Anolis sagrei: one gene and its partner. The protein of the gene in region 1 purifies or fractionates together with the protein of each later gene. This does not show direct contact. Links are inferred from orthologs where the notes say so. Each region holds a gene or a part of one and is shown in the gene's direction. Other genes may lie near its edges.

Region 1 (7,769 bases):
TTGCTGTATTTATATACTGCCTTTCTCACCCTTGGGGGAGACTCAAGATGGTTTACAGCATACTAAGGGCAAAAATTCAATGCCAAGATACAAGAAAATGAAGAAATCATAATAAGTAATGACTACATATAGCTCTAACTAAAACTCAGTAAAACCATTAAACATAAGACATATACACAATTAAACATTCAGATAAAGCATTAAAATCATCCTAGTATAAATATCAAAATCACATAATCCAAAAATCTACAGGATTTTAAAAAGATTTTCAATTTAACTGGTCAACACAAGTTTTTGAAACTAAAATTTTATGAAACTAAAAATAAAACCAAACTAAAAATAATAATATAGGACTGTATCAATTTAGTTGCACAAAAGTGTCAAGGCAATGTGAACATTATTAACTCTTTTCTATCACTATTCCTTTTGTAAAACATACATAAACCAACAGCATTTGATGATACTTTTAGATAAAATCACTCTGACACAAGATATTTGACCACAATTGTCCAGAATACTTCAGCAGACTAAAATTACATTAACCCTAAAACAATTACATTTTTTAAAGTTGTGTGAACCCTAAAATTTGAGTTTCGAAATCTACATCAGGAATATAACTGAGGAATATTTTGGAAAATTACATATATAACTTGAATCATTTCCACAAAATATGTAACCCAGGGCCTTTCCACATATCTATAGGGAGAAAATCCCACAGAATTCCCGGAAGAGCCCCCATAATCTGAGCCCACACTGCCATATAATCCAATTCAAAGCAGATCATGTGGGCTGTGGAAGGGGCCCCATAAATAAACAAAAGTCCTGGGAAGGCTTTCCCATCCCATCCCATCCCATCCATCCTCCTTTCCCACCCAATCTATGCATAGCAATGACCCCTTTTTTTTCCTTGAAAGCAAATTCTTAAAACTTACTGGAGTCCTAAATATTAAAACAACAGGGCTGGCTTTCATTTCTGTATCCTTCCTTTCTCTTGTGTGTGTGTGTGTGTGTTTTCCAGGCCACGTTTTTTGTTTGCCCTGGAACCAGGCTCCACTCACTCTCTCTCCTACACACACCCTGACCCCCTCCCCCTACAAACCCACCATTGTGTGCTCTTTACAAATGTTGAAAATTATGAATGGTTCCTTGAACCAAGAGAGGAGGGGGAAACAGAGAGAGAGGAGGGAGGAGGAATGGGGGTGGGTGGGTGGATTCTGTATGGTAATCCTAGGGCTGCCTTGCCTGCTGACCATGCCCAGTGCTGCTCCCCTTCCCCTTTAAGGAAACAGCACAAAAACCCACCATTAACTAAATTTAAAAAGACAGGAGGAGGGGGAAGGGTTAGGGTCTGGAATGGGGAGAGGGAGGGGGGAGAGAGGCCGCTCTGTCCGGAGGAGCACGCTTTCCTCTGCCCTCCCACTTTCTTTCTTTCTTTCTTTCCTTCTAATCCCCCTCCAACCGGCCTCCACCCCTTTTGTCCTTCGATTCATAACGTCGTGGAGGCATCACATTCACCAAGGCTCACCAACGCGCCAGAAATATCACTATGCAGGAAAAGGAGGGGAGGAAAAGGAGGGGTGGCAAGGGGGAGTGGGAGGGAACGGTTTCAAGGAGACCCTTCCCTTCTTCTTCTTTTTTCCCCCGGCCTCAACAAGACCCCGGCTTGCTTTTTTTTTATTTTTGTCTCCTCCTTTTCTTTCCTTAAGCAAGGAGCCAATGGCCAGCAAGAAAGCCAAGCCAGCCACCCAACATTGAAATAAAGAGCAGACCAAACGCACATGGATGGGATGCTTTGGAAATCATCATAATAATCTATATAAATAAAAATGTAATGTTCGTTTGTGGGGTTAACATAACTCAAAAACCACTGGACGAATTGACACCAAATTGGGCCACAAGATATCTACTAATCCAAGGAGTGATCATCACTAAAAAAAATTATTTTTTTTCATTTGGGAGTTGTAGTTACTTTGATTTATAGTACACCTTCAATCAAAGAGCATTCTGAACTCCACCAATGATGGAATTGAACCAGATGTGGTACACAGGACTCCCATGACCAACAGAAAACTCTAGAAGGGTTTGGTGGGCATTGACCTTGAGTTTGGGAGTTGTAGTTCTCTTACATCCAGAGAGCACTCTGGACCAAACTTGGCACGAATATTCCATATGCCCAAATATGAACACAGATGGAGTTTGTGGGAAATAGACCTTGACATTTGGGAGTTGTAGTTACTGGGATTCACCTACAATCAAAGAGCATGCTGAACTCCACCAACGACAAAATTGGAGCAAACTTCCCACACAGAACCTTCATACTTAAGGCCATCCAGTCCAACTCCCTTCAACAAGGCAATGTAATCAAAGCCCTCCTGACAAAGAGCCATCCAGTCATAGATATAGATAGATATGATTCACACAGAGATATAGTATCATAGATTTGAAAGGCACTCCTAAAGAAGGACAATTATATGTTGCATGTTCCAGGGTGAGCAAACCAGACAATCTCCACATCAACACTGACAAAGAAACAGCAAGAAATGCTGTTTACACACAAGCATAAATAAATTACATATATTAGAAACCAACACTTTCTAATTACTTTGTTTTCCAGATCACCAGACTGGAACCCGTGGCAGGGGACCGCTAGTAATCTATATAAATAAAAATATAATGTTCGTTTGTGGGATTAACATAACTCAAAAACCACTGGACGAGTTGACACCAAATTTGGACACAAGACACCTATCAGGCCAACAAGTGACCATCACTCATAAAAACACTGAAAAACACAGCAGAAGAGACTTTAAAAGCCAAAAATTTTAAAAATACATTATAACCCATGCGGAAAACCACATATATAAAAATACACACACACACATATATATATACACACACAAAACACATATACAAAGACTGGGCCACAGCAAGGCATGGCAGGGATGGCTAGTATATCCTGAAAACTGGAATGCCTCAAAGAATAATATACCCCCCACTCTCTATCCAAAACAGGTTGGGTTGCTGTAAGTTTTTAGGGCTGTATGACCATGTTCCAATTCTGGAACATGGCCATACAGGCTAAAAAACTTACAATAATCCAGTGATTCTGGCCATGAAAGCCTTTGACAATACACAAAACAGGTCGCCTTTTAGACCTCCTGTAGAATTCTGGGGTTTGTAGTATAGGAAGGCTGTTAAAGCCCCCCGCCCTCAAACTACAAACCTTAGACCTCTACAGGAGACCACAGCTGGATTTAAAGTGGAATTGTTCTCTAGTGCAGTGGTTCTCAACCTGTGGGTCCCCAGGTGTTTTGGCCTACAACTCCCAGAAATCCCAGCCAGTTTACCAGCTGTTAGGATTTCTGGGTCTAGTGTGATGAGGTCCTAAGAGTTGTTTTTTTTACGGGTTGCTGTGATTTTTCCAGGCTGTATATAGCCATGTTTCCAGAAGCATTCTCTCCTGACATTTCACCCATATCTATGGCAGGCATCCTAAAAGGTTGTGAGGTTTGTTTGAAACTAGGCAAGCGAGGTTTGTATATCTCTGGAAAATCCAGGGTGGTATAAAGAACTTTTGTCTGGGTTGCTGTGAGTTTTCTGGGCTGTATGGCTATGTTCCCAGAAGCATTCTCTCCTGATATTTCACCCAAATCTATGGCAAGTATGCTCAGAGGGGGAGTCCACAACATACGAGCAAACCACAGATCACTTACTACAATGCAGCCTGAGCTCTGCCAAATGCAGAATGGAGGACCTTCTTGTAACCAGAATTCTGCAGGAGGGAGCAATTTAAGGTGGATTCATTCTTTACTGTGATGAGGTCCTTATAAGTACTTCATCACACTAGAGAATGAATCCACTTTAAATGGGGTTTCTGCCTCCTGCAGATTTCTGGGGTTTGTAGTTTAGGGAGGCTATTAAAGGTGCTTCCCTAAACTACAAACTCCAGAATTCTGCAGGAGGCAGCGGCCCCATTTAAAGCGGGATTCATTCTCTAGTGTGAGGAGGTCACACTAGAGAATAAATCCACTTTAAATCGGGTTTCTGCCTCCTGCAGATTTCTGGGGATTGTAATTTAGGGAGGCTATTAAAGGCTCCTTCCTAAACTACAAACCCCAGAATTCAGCAGGAGGCAGATTTAAGGTGGATTCATTCTCTAGTGTGATAGGGTTCCAAATCTCATTTGGTCGCCTTGGGGGTTTGCGATTTGGTGTGCTCTTCCCGGGCTTCTCTTTCCAAATTCCTCCCCGTGAGGGGACCAGATAACGAAGTGATTCTCCTCGAAGCCCATCGATTCTCCTCGAAGACCCCACGCCCCGATCCGCGCGAGGAAGGCTGGAAAACGTGGAGAGCCGCGGCGCCGCTTTTTACGCACGGGAGAGAAAGAGGCGCGCCAAAACGCCTGCGCGTCAAAGTGGAGATATATATAGATCTGTCTCTCTCTGTGTGTGTATGTATTAAGCAACCCAACCCGGAAAGTAGTAAACAGGGGGAGGGGAGAGAGAGAGAGAAAAAAAAGGAAAGAAAAAGAAACTTCTCCAGGACAGCTGAAAAAAAAAAAAGGCACAACGCAGCCTCTCCTTTTCCTCTTCCTTTCCTCTCTCCTCCTTTGTGAGTCGCGCTCTCTTAATTGAGGCGTTGGGATTCCTCGCGTGAGAAGTTGATTTGTAGTTTGAACACGTGGCCTCATTCAAAAAAAAAAAAAAAAAAGAGCCGGAATATTCAAGCGATTTCTCTCTCTCTCTCTTTTCCCCCTCCCTCCCTCCCTCTCTCTCTACTCTTTGGAGAGAGGCGGTGCCTTGCGATGCGCGCATTGTAACATTTCCATACTCCGCCTGCTTTGGCCACCAAAGAGAGAGAGACACACACACTCACATACAAAAGGAGAAGGAAACAAGGCAAAGAAAAAGTACTTTCCCTTCTTTATTTATTTATCTACTCCTTTCCTTCCCTAATTCCCATTATTTCCCCTCATTCCCAGTATCTCTTTGGATATGTTGCCTTTTTGCAAAGTGGGTGTGTAAGTAAGAGAGAGAGAGAGAGAGGAAGGGAGGAAAGGAAGGAGGGAAAGAGGGAGGGGTGGGGACGGATATAAGCCGCAGTTGTGATCCTTTCCTCCTTTTTTTGTTGGGTTTTTTGGGGGGAAAGCCCTCCCTCTTTGGCTTTTTATTTTATTTTATTGCATCCTTTGGAAGGATATTGTTTTGTTGTCTCTTCTGCTGCTGTTTTCCCAAGTAGTGGTGCTTCTCTTCCTCTTGTGTGTTTTGTTATTTTTTTCCACCCCTAAATTATTAAGCCAGGATCTAATTTTTTTTGTGTATTGATCCTTCACCCAAGAAGATGAACAAGCTGTACATCGGGAACCTGGGCGAGAACGTGAGCCCGCAAGACCTGGAAAGTCTCTTCAAAGAGTCCAAGATCCCTTTCACCGGCCAGTTCCTCGTCAAGACGGGCTACGCGTTTGTGGACTGCCCCGACGAGAACTGGGCCATGAAGGCCATCGAGGCACTTTCAGGTGGGTCCAACACCCCCTCTCAATACCCTCCTCCCCCTCCAAATGCCTCCCTCTTTTCCCCATTTCCCTGCTTTCCCCGTGCGCCATCCTCTCTCTCTCTCTCTTCCTTCTCCATCGCCGCGTGGTCGCCTTCTCTCTTCTCTCCATTCCCATTTTGGAGACGCGCGCTACCTCTCTCTCTCTCCAAAAAGGGACCCCTTTCCCCAGTTTTCTCCCAGTCTCTAAAAGACCTTATTTAGGATGGGGAGGGTCCGAAGCGGACCTGAAAGGGCCCCCTCTTCTCCTCCTCTTTGCCCCCCCAACAAGGAAAGGCGCAAAAAGAGAACCCCCCCTTTTTTGTTTTGTTTTGGTGGTGCCACAAGAAGGCCCAAAGCCAGGGCGCATTACGCACACATCTCTCCCCCAAGACTCCCCTTCTGCATCTCTCCAGGCTTCAGGAATAAGAGGATAGGGAACGAGGTGGGGGGTGGGGGTTAAGGAAGCCCCACTCTGTCGGAGAAGGGAGAGATGGCGAGACAGAAACGCGTGGAAAGGGCCCAAAGCTGTTGGGTGGGAAGGGACACACACACACTCTCTCTGGCTTCTTCTCCATGCGCGCTCTCGCCTTTCTCTCCGCCCCGGACAAAGGTGGCTTGGGGCGCCCAGGAAGGGCAGGTGGTTAGGAAAGCAAGCAAAGAAAGGAATATATATACAAATTCTCTCTCTCTCTCTCTCTCCCTCTCCCTCTCCCTCTCCCCCTCTCTCTCTCTCTCTCTCTCTCTCTCTCTCACTCACACACACACACAGAGTGGAGTCTCCTCTCCCCCCCCCCCCCGGTGCTGCAAAGCCCACCAACACGGTGGAGTTTTATTAAAATAGATTTGTGTTGGTGTGAGTTTTGCAAGCTGTATGGCCATGCTCCAGAAGCATTCTCTCCTGACATTTCGCCTGCATCTATGGCAGGCATCCTCATAGGTTGTGAGGTCTGTTGGAAACTTCCACACAGTCCTATAACCCAGAATATTAAAGCAGAGAATCCCTCGGTATCTGCTTTGAACTGGATTATCTGATGCCCCTTCCACACAACCCTTTACCCCAGAATATCAAGGCAGAAAATCTCACAATATCTGTTTTGAACTGGGTTATCTGAGTCCACACTCAGATGATGTGGGATTCTCTCCCTTGATATTCAGGGATAAAGGGCTTTATGGAAGGGCCCTGGGTTGCTGTGAGTTTTCCGGGCTGTATGGCTATGTTCCAGAAGCATTCTCTCTTGATGTTTCGCCCGCATCTATGACAGGCATCCTCAGAGGTTGTGAGGTCTGTTGGAAACTTCCACACAGCCCTATATCCCAGAATATCAAAACCCCTCGATATCTGCTTTGAACTGGGTTATCTGTGTCCACAGTGCCATATATTCATTTGCTTTGTATGCTCAAAGCAGATAATGTTGGATGTTCTGTCTTGATATTCTGGGAGATAGGGCCCTAGGTTGGTGTGAGATTTGCAAGCTGTACGGCCATGCTCCTGAAGCATTCTCTCCTGAAGGTTTGTCTGCATCTATGGCAGGCATCCTCAGAGGTTGTGAGGTCTGTTGGAAACAAGGCAAGTGAGGTTTGCATATCACAGTGCCATATATTCCGGTTCAAAGCAGATAATGTCAGATTTTCTGTCTTGATATTCTGAGAGATAAGGCCCTAGATTGCTGTGAGTTTTCTGAGCTGTATGGCCATGCGCCAGAAGCATTCTCTTCTGACATTTCACCTGCATCTATGGCAGACATCCTCAGAGGTTGTGAGGTTTCTTGGAAGCTAGGAAAAATGAGGTTTAAATAATGGAATTATGTCCAGGGTGGGAGAAAGAACTCTTGTCTGTTTGAGGCAAGTGTGAATGTTGTAGTTGGCCACCTTCCACTTCATCACACTAGAGAATGAATCCACTTTAAAATCCTGTTTCTGCTTCCTGCAGAATTTTGGGGTTTATAGTTTGGTGAGGGTGTTTAAAGCTCATCCCTAAACAACAAACCCCAGAATTCTGCAAGAGGCAGAAACCGGGTATAAAGTGGATTCATTCTCTAGTGTGATGAGGCCCCCTGATTAGCATTGAATGGCCTTGCAGTTTTAAGGTCTGGCAGATTGCTGCCTGGGGGGATCCTTTGTTGGGAGGTGATTAGCTGACCCTAATTGATTTTTGACTGGACTTCCCCTGCTTTTTGAGTGTTGCTCTTTAGAGTGTTTTTAAAACTGGTGGCCAGATTTTGTTCATTTTCATGTTT
Region 2 (7,148 bases), about 1.2 Mb from region 1:
ATCCGAACACATCTCCCCCTATGAACCAGGATAGCTAAGATCTTCTGGAGAGGCCCTGCTCTCAGTTCCACCTCCGTCACAGGTGGGGACTAGAGACAGGGCCTTCTTAGTGGTGGCCCCTCAACTGTGGAACTCTCTTCCTAGTGATGTGAGATCAGCCTCCTCCCTCCTGACATTTAGAAAATATGGCTTTGGAACCAGACATTCGGAGACTAGCTACAATGCAATAGACAGCTGGAAATCAATGTGACTGTAACTGGAATGGCTCAAGGACTCTGATTACAGAATTTGTGGTTGTTTTAATTGCTGTTTTCAATCCTGTTTTAATTGTATTTATATGTGCTCGTTTTTATGTGTAATTAATGTTAAAATATTTATAATTTGTTATTTCTGTTTTGATGTGGCATCTAATTGTGCCAAACTGTAAGCCGCGATGAGTCCCCCTTTGAGGGTGAGATAGGGCGGGATAAAAATATGGTAAATAATGCTGGGAGATGTGGATGTATCTTTTTACACTAGTGGTTCCCTACCTTTGGTCCTCTAGAGTTTTCGGACTTCAACACCCAGAAGTCCCAGCCATCTTATCAGCTGTAAGGAATTGTAGGAGCTGAAGTCCAAAATACCTGAAGGACCAAAAGTTTGGAACCAGTGTTTTACACAGAAATGCCAACAATAAATCTGAAGAAATATGGTGATAAAATCCTTACATATTTTATGTGGTTGTGAACTTACCAATGTAGATTTATTGGTGGCCATTTTTATTGCAGACTTGCTGAGCTTTTACTAGAAAAATGCATGACAAAAGGAATGTGTATTACTCAGAGAAAGGCATCTGAAAACAAATATGGTCCCTTTTTTATCAATGTGATTCCAAAATTCAAGTACATTAGCAACATTTGAAGTTATATTACTTATGACACTAGGCATTTGGAGTTAAGCATTACCTACAAAACATGCCATGCCTTTTCACTAACAACATCACACATTCTGATCTCAAACCAAACATTTGCAAAGAAAGCTTATACTGCAAAACCTCAAAGTGGGGTGATATCATGATGCTGGATTGCAATCCCCTGGTTTCCCCATAATTAGCTACACCAGGGCTGGGGATGCTGGGAACTGAAGTCCAGAAACATTTCAGGGGTCACAAAATCAGCCATAATATCAATATATACAACATTTATCTATGTCCCTCAAAGGCCCTACATGGCTTGATGGAAGGGGTCTCCTAGTGTGTCTCCCTGTTGATACTCCAGACCTCCTCTATTTGTCATCTTCCTCTCTGAGTAAGCTATCGGAACGCTGCATCATAAGACTCATGGGCCATCAATATATGTCATTTTAAAAAGAAAGGGGAGACCATTTCTGATTTGGCAGGATTTTAATTTGGATAATGAAGTTTGATTCAGATCCATCAAGCCATCTTGGAGCCTTTGAAGAACAACCATGTATAGTACAGGTAATTCTAACAGTTCAGGAAGATACAAGATTGCGGTCGAGTAGACAACAAATACATGCGTGACCTAGGAATCTTAAACATAGGTTGATTTGATTTTTTGGGGCTGTATGGCTATGTTCCAGAAGCATTCAAAGTCTGGCGGGAATCCTTTGTTGGGAGGTGTTAACTGCCCCTGGTGGTTTCTTGTCTGGAATTCCCCGGAGGATGCCTGCCCTACATGTGGGCAAAAATGTCAGAAGAGAATGCTGCTGGAACATGGCTATACAGCCTGAAAAACTCACAGCAACTCAGTAATTCCGTCCATGAAAGCCTTCCAACAACAAATCTTAAACATAGTTATAGAACATACACACACAAAAGGTAAAGGTTTTCCTTTGACATTAGGTCTAGTTGAGTCTGACTCTGGGAGGTGGTGCTCATCTCCATTTCTAAGCCAATGAGCCGGCATTGTTCGTAGACATCTCCTAGATCAGTGGTTCTCAACCTATGGGTCCCCAGATGTTTTGGCCTTCAACTCCCAGAAATCCTAACAGCTGGTAAAGTGGCTGGGATTTCTGGGTGTTGTAGACCAAAACACCTGGGGACCCATAGGTTGAGAACTACTGTCCTTGGTCATGTGACGAGCATGTAAAGAGTGGTGACCTTCCCGCTGGAGCGATACCTATTTATCTACTCACATTTGTATCTTTTTGAACTGCAAGGTTAGCAGAAGCTGGGGCTAACAGTGAGAGCTCATTCCTTTCAGTCAGCAAGTTCAGCAGCTCAGTGGTTTAACCCACGGTGCCACTGGACACATATAGAATAATTCATATTACAGTCCCAATGCCTTTTAACAGGAGTTTCTTTGCAAACCGATGGGGTGGATCAACCAAGAGATGCATGAAAGCAAATCCACCACCCAGAAAACTCTGCAACCCAGTAATCCACCACCTTCTGCCTGCTTCCCTTCCACTTTCAGCCATCCTTTTTTTTGTAGTGAGTGCATCCTTCCATTCCGAAAAAAATGGAATGTAAAGAGTAACGGCCTACAGCAAAGCATTGATGCTAAGCACGAGAAGCAAGGAAAAGGGGGGGGGGGGAGAGAAAGGATAGAATCCCACAATCTATATAAATAAAAATGTAATGTTCATTTGCGGGATTAACATAACTCAAAAACCACTGGACGAATTGACACCAAATTTGGACACAATACACCTATCAGGCCAACAAGTGACCATCACTCATAAAAATACTGAAAAACACAGCAGAAGGGACTTAAAAAGCCACAAATGCAAAGAGATGTTACAGTGCATGTGCAAAATGAGTACCCTGGACAAACAAAACACACAATAGCATATCCACACTTTCTTCCAGACTAGAGCTCCCAGCATCCCCTAGACCAGGCCCTTTAGGAGAGGAAGATGATGCAAATGCACTGCTTCCAAGCTGCAAGTTTGCTTCTCCTTGGATTTCTTTGAGAGCATACCAATCCCTGCATACCTCCAATTTCCTATTCCTGTACTGCAACTCCCAGGAATCCTCCAGATAGATAGTCAGTGGTTCTCAACCTGGGTCCCCAGATGTTTTGGGCCTACAACTTCCAGAAATCCCAGCCAGTTTACCAGCTGTTAGGATTTCAGGGAGTTGTAGGCTAAAAACATCTGGGGACCCCAGGTTGAGAACCACTGGATTAGATGGAGAGAGAGAGAGATAAATAGACTGATCAGGAGGACTGCTGGGAGTTGCAGTCCAAGAATAGAGAAGGAAGAAAGGAGAGAAAGAGGAAGGGGAAGGAAGGGAAGAGGAAGAGAAGAAAGGAGAGAACGAAAGAAAAAAAGGGAAGAAATGAAGGTGAGAAAGAAAGGAGGAGAGAACGAGGGAGGGAAGGTTGGCCACAGCAACGCGTGGCGGGTAAAGCTAGTCCAGGAGAATAAGACTGGGTGAAAATGCCTGGCCAAATATCCCAAAGGGACCCCATCCTTCTTTTTGGCCCCCCATTTCCAAGCATAGAGCTACCCATCTGAGGACCTGACGCTTGGAGGGATGTCACTCCTTTTCACCGCCTCCAGCCTCCGTTTCATCGGGCCTCTTCCTTTATGGAAGGAAAGGAGAAATGGATCTTACCAGTAAATGGCGGTCAGGCCGCCATTTACACATTTAAAGTTGGAGAGTGCAACGGAGGAGGGTCTTGGGTGGGCGGCCTCACATTATCCTCAAGCTAATTTTTGAGGCCTACTGCAAAACGCCCCATTTTGTTTGTAAAGAGGCCTACTGCAAAAGGCTTCATTACCAATCCCTTTCATGGGTCATAAGGCGGCGTTTGAAGAAAAAAAAAGGGAAATGGAGGAGGGGAGGAGAAAGGAAAGGGAGGAGGAGGCCACGCCTGAAGCTTTCTCGAGTTACATAAATATATATATATAGGTAAGCGGCCCTTTTCCCCTCAGAGCGGCTCATGCTGTTCTTGCAATTAGGATTATGATAAAGGGGCTTTAAAAAGGAGGGCAGGTGGAGATGGGAGGGGAAAGGAAGGATAAAATAAGATAAAGAGAAAGATACGGACTTCAATGGCGGCGGCCCAGCGTCTGCTCGGCTCCTCCGAACTGTGTTGGCTCCCCGCGCGCTGTGTGTGGAAGAAGGCGCCGCCGCCGCCGCGAGGGGAAAGGGGCGGGGCCTAGGGAGAAGCCCTCCCCTTTCCCCCTTCCCGCTCGCCACTGCGCATGCGCCGCCGCCATTATCTGCACCGCCGGTCGTTAGCCGCTTCACGCATTTCGTCTCCTGCCGCCGAAGGAGCCAAAGCGCGCCTCCCGCCTCTCTTCCCTCACTCTATCGCGCCCTTCGCTGTTTCCTCAGCCGAGATGCCTCGCGGAGACCGGGAGAGCGACTGGGTGAGTGAGGTAACGGACAGAGTGGCTCGGTTAATAGCCGGCTTTTACTTTGAAGGGGGGAGGAAAAAAGAAACTCCGCCGCCATTGTGTCCCTGTGAGTTCGAGCGAGGGGAGAAAATGGCGGCGGCGCAGGAAGGGAAAAAGCGCGCGCACAAACAGGGAAAGGCAGCGCCTAGGCCTGATTTTGAAAATTGTTTCCAACAGAGCTGATTTAATGCCCGATTCCTCACCGCGTCATCCCTGGGATTTTGTTTTCTCCTCAGGGAAAAGCGATACAAAACAGTATTGATATGATTTTTTTAAATAAACGTCATTTACGAAGGGATTTTAAAAATATATTTTACTATATCGAGCCACTACAAAGGAGAGGGGTTTCGTTAATCCATCGCCTACCCATCCCCTTTTTGGCGCGATGACACTTCGTGCTTCTTCGGCTTTTTCCGGAAACCGCAAAGAATGGATTGTTTGTCCGTTCGGGTTTTTCCGGAAATCGCCGAAGGGGCTGCGAGGGGGAATCGGTATTCTTCGGCAGTCTTCCGGAAATGGCCGAAGGACCCTCCCTGTGGTGACGAAGCGCCTTTGAGCTGTTGTCGCACACTGCACGATCACTTGTAAAACATTTTTTTTAAATAACGGTCGCATACTTCAGTCTGAAGTAATGTTTTGAGGAAAAGGGCCAAAACGGGGAATGAACAATTCGATATGGTTTAATAAATGGACATCAAAGTATTTTGTTTAAAAATGCGGAGGGGAGAGGAATGGTGAGGTAATTTCCAAGTACGTAGCAATCAAGGCCGCCATAGCACGAAAGACGAGTCCTATTCTCGAAGCGCGTTACTCCAAGCATGGTGCGTAGCATAGGAAGCTGAAGCGTCAGCGCCCCGGGTTGGAGATTGCGGCGCGCCTGCGCGAACTGCGGCAGAGTACGCCATTAGCGTAGGTCTTGGAAGCAGTGACGCAGAAACGCTGGGTGGCGCACTTGGCGCGACTGGGATGCTTCTAATGAGGCCATTGGGGAGGGGGAGGAAGGTTCTGGAAAGGCCCGCAGCGGTTGGGAGGGGGAAGCGGCCGTGTTAGTCTCTGGCACCCCCCTTAAGCCCCCCCCCCCAGGCCCACGGGCCATAGTGTGGGTCAGAGACCGTCTCTCTTTGTTCCTGGCGGGGAGGGGGGTGCTATTCGAAGACCTCCGCCTGCTCTTCTCCGCCTCAGCGCGAGAGCGGGCAGGGTGCGCGCGCAGAAGAGCAGAGCAGCCTTTCGTGGCCTTCTGGGAACGACCCCCCCTCCCCCCGCCTCGTCTTCTTCGGCGCCATTTTCTCTCCTACTCCGCTGAGGACTTGGGATTCACGGGGACGTCACATGGCGGAACCATTTTCAGCGGGAGTTCAGCAAGGGGGCGGGGGAAGGATAATGTGCTACGTAAAAATACCTAACACGAACCGGTTTTTTTGTCGTCCCCCTCCCAACCAGATTTGTCCAGCAGAGTTAGTTGATCACGCCCCATAAGGGCTCTTCCACTAAGCTCTATATCCCAGAATATCAAGGGAGAAAATCTCACATTATCTGAGTGGGGTTTCAGATAATGCATCTGTGTGGAAGGTCCCTTCCACACAGTCCTATATCCCTGAATTTCAAGGCAGAAAAACACACAATATCTGCTTTGAACTGAGTTATTATGAGTCCACACTCAGATAATGTGGGATTTCTGCCTTAATATTCTGGGATATAGGGCTGTGTGGAAGAGCACAAAGAGTAACCGTTTTTGCATTGCACCAAATCTTCTGAGGGCCTTTCTGCACATCCCTATATCCCAGAATAACAAGGGAGAAAATCCCACATTATCTGAGTGTGCTTTCAGATAACCCAGTTATCTGTGTGGAAGGGACCTAGTTTTTGCATTTTCTAGAACAATTGTCTCACCAAAGGCCCTTCCAAACGCAAAAACTAGGGCCCTTCCGCATAGATGTGTTATCTGAAACCCCACTCAGATAATGTGGGATTTTCCCCCTTGATATTCTGGGATATGGAGCTTCGTGGAAGAGCCCTTAGTTGATTACGTATGGGGCGTGATCAACTAACTGAACAAATGTAGTGGTGGTGGGAGGAGGGGGGGAGAGGGACAAAAAAAAGCCCCTCTGAATTTCAAGGCAGAAAATCCCACAATATCTGCTTTGAACTGAGTAATTAGACTCCACATTCAGATAATGTGGGATTTCTGCCTTGATATTCTGGATCAGTAGTTCTCAGCCAGGGGTCACCAGATGTTTTTGGCCTACAACTCCCAGAAGTCCCATCCAGTTTACCAGCTGTTAGGATTTCTGGGAGTTGAAGGCCAAAAACATCTGGGGACCCCAGGTTGAGAACCACTTTTCTGGATATTTGGCTGTGTGGAAAGGGCCAAAAAGTGCCTTTTTGCATTGCACCAAATCTTCTGAGGGCCCTTCTGCAGATCCCTATATTGCTGAATATCAAGGTAGAAAATCCCACAATATCTGCTTTAAACTGGGTTATCTGATTCCACACTCAGATAATGTGAGATTTTCTCCTTTGATAATGTGGGATAGGCTGTGTAGAAGGGCCCTGGTTTCCTTTAACATTGCACCACTTTACTGTAGCAATTTGGGTAATCTTCCATCCTGTTCTCAGCTTGACCACATTTCATAAAAATGCAAATTGCTCACCTGAAAGTTGTCTGCTGGCAGAAGAAATGAAAACAAATTACCTCTATTTGTTGGCGTAGGCCCCACCCACACTGCCATATGAGTTTACATTGCCATATAATCCAGTTCAAAGCAGATAATCTCGATTTTATATGGCAGTATAGAAGG

The links.
Region 2: the proteins of IGF2BP3 (region 1) and HNRNPA2B1 purify together in Homo sapiens (affinity purification with mass spectrometry; 4 studies listed by BioGRID and IntAct, with this or other methods). This does not show direct contact. The link is inferred for Anolis sagrei from reciprocal best matches to the Homo sapiens genes IGF2BP3 and HNRNPA2B1.

Annotation. Positions count from the first base shown.
Region 1 is NC_090026.1:92,999,611-93,007,379, forward strand, and holds the start of IGF2BP3 (insulin-like growth factor 2 mRNA-binding protein 3), read left to right. Parts: upstream 1-4,763; 5' UTR 4,764-4,909; intron 4,910-5,337; exon of another isoform or gene 5,338-5,340; coding exon 5,341-5,515; intron 5,516-7,769. UniProt on the Homo sapiens protein: RNA-binding factor that may recruit target transcripts to cytoplasmic protein-RNA complexes (mRNPs). This transcript 'caging' into mRNPs allows mRNA transport and transient storage.
Region 2 is NC_090026.1:91,778,056-91,785,203, forward strand, and holds the start of HNRNPA2B1 (heterogeneous nuclear ribonucleoproteins A2/B1), read left to right. Parts: upstream 1-4,140; 5' UTR 4,141-4,155; coding exon 4,156-4,332; intron 4,333-7,148. Other genes in the region: CBX3 (chromobox protein homolog 3), read right to left, coding at 733-756. UniProt on the Homo sapiens protein: Heterogeneous nuclear ribonucleoprotein (hnRNP) that associates with nascent pre-mRNAs, packaging them into hnRNP particles.